Saccharomyces cerevisiae S288C: one gene and its partner. Changing the gene in region 2 together with the main gene of any one other region gives a genetic interaction. Each region holds a gene or a part of one and is shown on either strand. Other genes may lie near its edges.

Evidence for each region.
Region 1: of SIP18 (region 2) and GRE1, changing one enhances a phenotype caused by changing the other (phenotypic enhancement), as found in Saccharomyces cerevisiae (one study listed by BioGRID).

What each region holds. Positions count from the first base shown.
Region 1 is NC_001148.4:128,110-130,987, forward strand, and holds GRE1 (Gre1p), read right to left. Parts: upstream 1,030-2,878; coding exon 523-1,029; downstream 1-522. Other genes in the region: FMP40 (Fmp40p), read left to right, coding at 2,053-2,878.
Region 2 is NC_001145.3:609,328-612,025, reverse strand, and holds SIP18 (Sip18p), read right to left. Parts: upstream 1,011-2,698; coding exon 771-1,010; downstream 1-770. Other genes in the region: ECM5 (Ecm5p), read right to left, coding at 1-286; YMR175W-A (uncharacterized protein), read right to left, coding at 518-712; PAI3 (Pai3p), read left to right, coding at 1,661-1,867; DDR48 (DNA damage-responsive protein 48), read right to left, coding at 2,045-2,698.

The DNA of each region.
Region 1 (2,878 bases), on a different chromosome or scaffold from region 2:
TTGAGAAAGTAATTGCTTACACGTTCTAGAATAAAAAAGTATGGTTGTAAGAACGCACTTGAAAAGGCACCAATCTGCTCGGGTTTTTACAACTAACACTAACCTAGATGAGAGGTAAAAAGAAATCGTAAAAAAAAGTTGTTGCCCAGCACAATAACGACACTTTACCCGCTAATTCCAGGAGGTTTGAGTTAGACAACGACCTTCCCACCCCGTTTTCCCATAATTCTATTGTTATACACCTGGATCTGGAGGTCCGTGAAACGGCATACCTCGACGAAAAAGGTCACTACTAATCAAATCAAACTGACATTAATAAAAACGTATAAACTGACAGCTGTAGATCTAAATAAACTAGATTAAACATATGAAATAGTTTGTAAAAAGTGGCATCATGACCAATAATAGGTCCAGATGAAGAAAAAAGAAAAAAGAAGACGAAATTAGGGTAAAATTTCTCACTTGCTGCTCAAGGGTGAGACCCGCACCTCAGGCATGTAATAGAAGCTTCGACCACCGCATCTACCAGACGCCTTGGTTCCCACTATCATCATCATATTCATCGTTTCCTGACCCAGACAGATCGCGTCTACCGCTGCCGATATTAGAGGATTGGTAGCGGTTACTTTGAGCACCTCTTGTACGACCTTGTTTTTGCTGTTGGCCCGAAGTCAAGAAGTCATCGTCTTCATCGTCGTCCAACTGACCTTGAGTGTTAGTTTCGCGGTAAGTTTGGGTATAAGTGCCACCACCAGTGCCGGCAGTGTAGTCAGTAGTTTGTTGCTGGAAGTCGTTACCGCCAAACTGCGTGTTACCGCCTAGATTAGACTGTGGCTGCTGGCGTTGAGGGAAATTCCCTTGGTTTTCTTCGCCGTAGGGATCGGCCTTGGATCCTTGATTCCTGAATTCCCTCTGTTGATGTTTTTCATGACGCTGTTGTCTAGTCTGGTCGTCATTGTCGTCTTCGTAACGTTCATCATGATCGTTGCCGTGCAACTTATCAGCAAACTTGTTTAATAGATTGGACATTTCTTAATTGTTATTCGTACTTAGCTTTTATGCGGTAGTGTTTGGCTCTGCTGCTAGTAGATATTAAGAGTTGAGGGTAGGTATGTATCCTTTTTTTGATGAAATAGTAATGTGCTTTTATAGTCCAAGAAATATTGACTGCTTCAAGGGAGCCTGATTAACAAGCACGTAACGGAGACCAAAAAAAGGATTTCGGTCTTTTCTAACCATTTCCCTTTACTCCCTTGTGCGTTATTTGTTTTGATTACTAGGCATGATGTATGGAGGAACTTGCGATCAAATGTCATAAAAGTGGAGGAGTGAAAAGAAATGACGAAGCCCAAAACGTGGTCCTAGAATTACCACATTTCCTTTTTCTAAAGGAAGCCAGACTATGCTTTACGCAAGAACTGTGGTTAAAGAGGGATATTCTGATGAACATAAATTCATACACATTCATGAGAAGCACGACAAGGATTGGTTAATTACTTACAACTAAGGCAAAACTGCCATTGACCTCATCTGTACCACCACATGCTGTGTAGTTATTTTCCCTTTGTGATCCCTAAAAAAGATGGGATCTACACACCTTACAAGAACATCCTCAAACCCATACCTGGAACCACTGAACATATTCTTCCCGTGAAAGGCTCTACGGCGAAACTACTGTAATGTCACAGGAAATTAAGGATGCTTCGACTATGGAACGGACCATACATGGGGACCCGATGTATAGAAAGCCTCAATGAGGCAAAGAGTCTAGCTCCTTTAAGATACGTAATTCTCCTTCTGTTTTCCCTTAATTATTCGGGTGAAATACCACATGGTCGCACGGCTGACGGGGAACTCCGGAATTGGACGATGAAGAACTTAACGGTGATATGAGGTGATCGTGGAACAAAACGTTGTGCCAAAGAAGCCACAAATACGTCACTGTAATTATTCTGCCTGCATAAAAAGAGCCATCAAGGATAAGCTAGAGACTATACTCCGGAAGTAGAAGAAGGAAGGTGTGAGAAAGAAGATAGAGCGTGTAACACAATCATGGGGGAAAAAAGGACAATAATCAAAGCGCTGAAAAACTCTGCAGCGTCCCACTTCATCAAGAAGTTGACCGCAGATACTTCCCTGTCGTCCATACAAGAGGCAATAAACGTCGTGCAGCAGTACAATGCAACGGATCCCGTGAGATTAAAGCTTTTCCATACGCCTCGGATGGTTTCGCAGGGGGCTCATTTTGCATTTTGTTTGCCCACTAAGAAACCACATTACAAGCCATTACTGCTTTCGCAAAACGCACTTGATGAGTTTAATTTGGTGCAGGATCAGGACTTGGAGAAAATACTATCCGGTGAGAAAGTATATTATTCCGATAGTATCTTTCCCTATAGTACAGTGTACTCCGGATTTCAATTCGGCTCATTTGCTGCACAGCTGGGAGACGGACGTGTGGTAAACTTGTTTGATCTTAAGGACAAGTGTAGCGGACAATGGCAAACGTTTCAGTTGAAAGGTGCCGGTATGACGCCATTTTCTCGGTTTGCAGATGGGAAAGCTGTGTTAAGATCAAGCATACGTGAATTCATAATGAGCGAGGCGTTGCACAGTATTGGAATTCCATCCACAAGAGCTATGCAATTAACTCTGTTACCGGGGACGAAGGCGCAAAGGCGCAATCAAGAACCGTGCGCTGTTGTATGCCGTTTTGCGCCCAGCTGGATCCGCTTGGGTAACTTCAACCTATTCAGATGGCGGCACGACTTGAAAGGGTTGATCCAACTATCAGATTATTGCATTGAGGAATTGTTTGCTGGGGGGACCCAATTTGAGGGGAAACCCGACTTTAATATATTCAAAAGGGATTTTTTTC
Region 2 (2,698 bases):
CCGGTAGCTCAACTAAATCTACAGATTTTATTGTTTCAGGTGCAAACGGTGCTGCACCACGAGATTTAAATTGCGTATAGAGAAATGGGCTAAAATTATGATTTGAAGTAGGAATTACAGCACTCCGCGGCGATTCCCATTGTTTAATCGAAGGTCGCTCCTGTATCTCTAATTCGATGTCTGCAATTTTAGAGCTTTCATGGAACCCGTTTTGTACCATTACCTTTTCGTTAACCGGTTCATTCAGGATATGAGATATTTTTGTAACAGAATCATGCCCACTCATTATAACTATGGAGATGGACGTACGAACAAGAACATACACGATAATCTAGAATTTGGAACAAAAAGCGAAGTTATTCAATATTATTTTCCTCCGAAGCGCTACACCTCCAGCGCCCTTGAGCTTAAAACAACCTTTATCTTCCACGCTGATGTAAAGTGTAGTTCTTATTTTAAGTGATGATGTTCACGAACTATGCTCGGCCACCGTTCACACATGCCGAAGATTTGAGTGTCACATCAACAGGCTTTCGGACGACTGAATACCAACAGCATCAAGCTGATTTGGCATCATTGTATGCATCATACAAACGTAATAAAGCACGGATGGAAGTCTTAGATATGACTTATATATATTCGTAGAAGAAAATTCGCTAAAATAAGCACTTATTGATTTTGAGTATAAAGAACATAAACATAAACAATTCATAAATAAACCATTAAAAAAATAAAAGGACTTGGTTAATTGCGCCCAAAAAAACGTAACATTATTTTTTCATGTTTTCGTAAGTCTTCCAATCGTTCGCAATTCCTCTGCCAGCGTTCATCTTTGTTCCAGATTGATCATGGCCCATCTTCATTCCCCCTTCGGACTGATCATGACCCATACCCATGTCCATGTTCATATCATCCCTTTCCTTGTTGGAGGATTTGGCGTTCTTTCCCTTCTGATGGGAATCATCGTTACCTTGTAATTTTTCAGCGAACTTATTCATCATGTTAGACATCTTGACTATACTTTTTTATATACCTTTCTACTAAAGTAAAGAGCACAGATACAAAGATTAAAAATGCCTAGGGACAAAACTTTGGGGCAGAATTGGGAGCTTTATATATGTTTGTGATGTTGATTCTGAGGGATGATAATTGCCCTCTCAGTCCCATCATTCTTTACACCTCGTACTGTATTCATGATCATCTATCCATTTTACATACCGCTCCCTTTAAGATACGTTTATTCGTAACTCCCATTTACCAATCACTATGAGCCGTCCACGTTTCCAAAAAAACCTAAACATATGATGCAAACCTCCAATGAGACTCAACGTAACATGCAAGTAAATACAGAAGGTTAAGAGATAGTTGTCTTAAAGGGGTACCGAAAGCATTTAGGGGAGGCTTAAGGGAGGGTGCCGATCCTATGAAGTATTAATACGTAATGCCAAAAGGAATTGTTGAACATCTGAAGTGGATAGATTAATCGTACAGTAATCGTACAGTACTATGTCTTACTGATGTCGGGAATCTCAGGGGCGACCGCCCCCGGCTAGAATTATCTATATAACGGTAAAAAGAATAAAACTCTATTCTAGTTCTCGCCATTTACCTTGACTTTAATGAACCAATAAAAGAAATTTCTACAACCAAGACATCCAGAATGAATACAGACCAACAAAAAGTGAGCGAAATATTTCAGAGCTCAAAGGAAAAATTGCAGGGCGATGCAAAGGTAGTGAGTGACGCTTTTAAGAAAATGGCTAGTCAAGACAAGGACGGCAAGACTACCGATGCTGATGAAAGTGAAAAACACAACTATCAAGAGCAATACAACAAGCTCAAAGGGGCGGGGCATAAGAAGGAGTAGCTCTGTTGTCCTACTATCGATTATTTGTGCCAGCGGGCTCTGTTAGGTTGAGGGTGGAAAGTGTAGAAAAAGCAGACCTATTTGCCAGCGGATACATAGCCACAGCTCATACATAAAATTTTCATACTTAAGTCTAAACACAATAATATATTTTTTTTATCGAAGACATCCAAAAACTTAGTAATCGTCGTCACCACCGTATTGATTACGACCGCCTCTATTAGATGAACCATAAGAGTCATCATTGTTGGATGAACCGTAGTTGGAAGACCCATAGGAGTTCTTGTTTCTATTAGAGGAACCGTAAGAGTCGTCATTGTTGGAACCGTAAGAGTCATTGTTGTTGCTGGAGCCGTATGAATCATCGTTGTTGGAACCATAAGAACTCTTCTTTTTGTTAGAAGAACCGTAGGAATCATCGTTGTTAGAACCATACGAATCGTTGTTGCTGGAACCATAAGAACTCTTCTTCTTGTTGGAAGAACCATATGAATCATCATTGTTAGAGCCATAAGAATCGTCATTGTTGGAACCATAAGAACTCTTCTTCTTGTTGGAAGAACCGTAAGAGTCGTCGTTATTGGAAGATCCGTAAGAATCATCGTTGCTAGAAGAACCGTAAGAGCTCTTATTCTTGTTTGACGAACCGTAAGAGTCGTCATTGTTGGAACCGTAAGAGTCATTGTTGTTGCTGGAGCCGTACGAATCGTCATTGTTAGAACCATAAGAGCTCTTCTTCTTGTTGGAAGAACCGTAGGAATCATCGTTGTTAGAGCCATATGAATCATTGTTGTTAGAACCATATGAATCATCGTTGTTAGAACCATACGA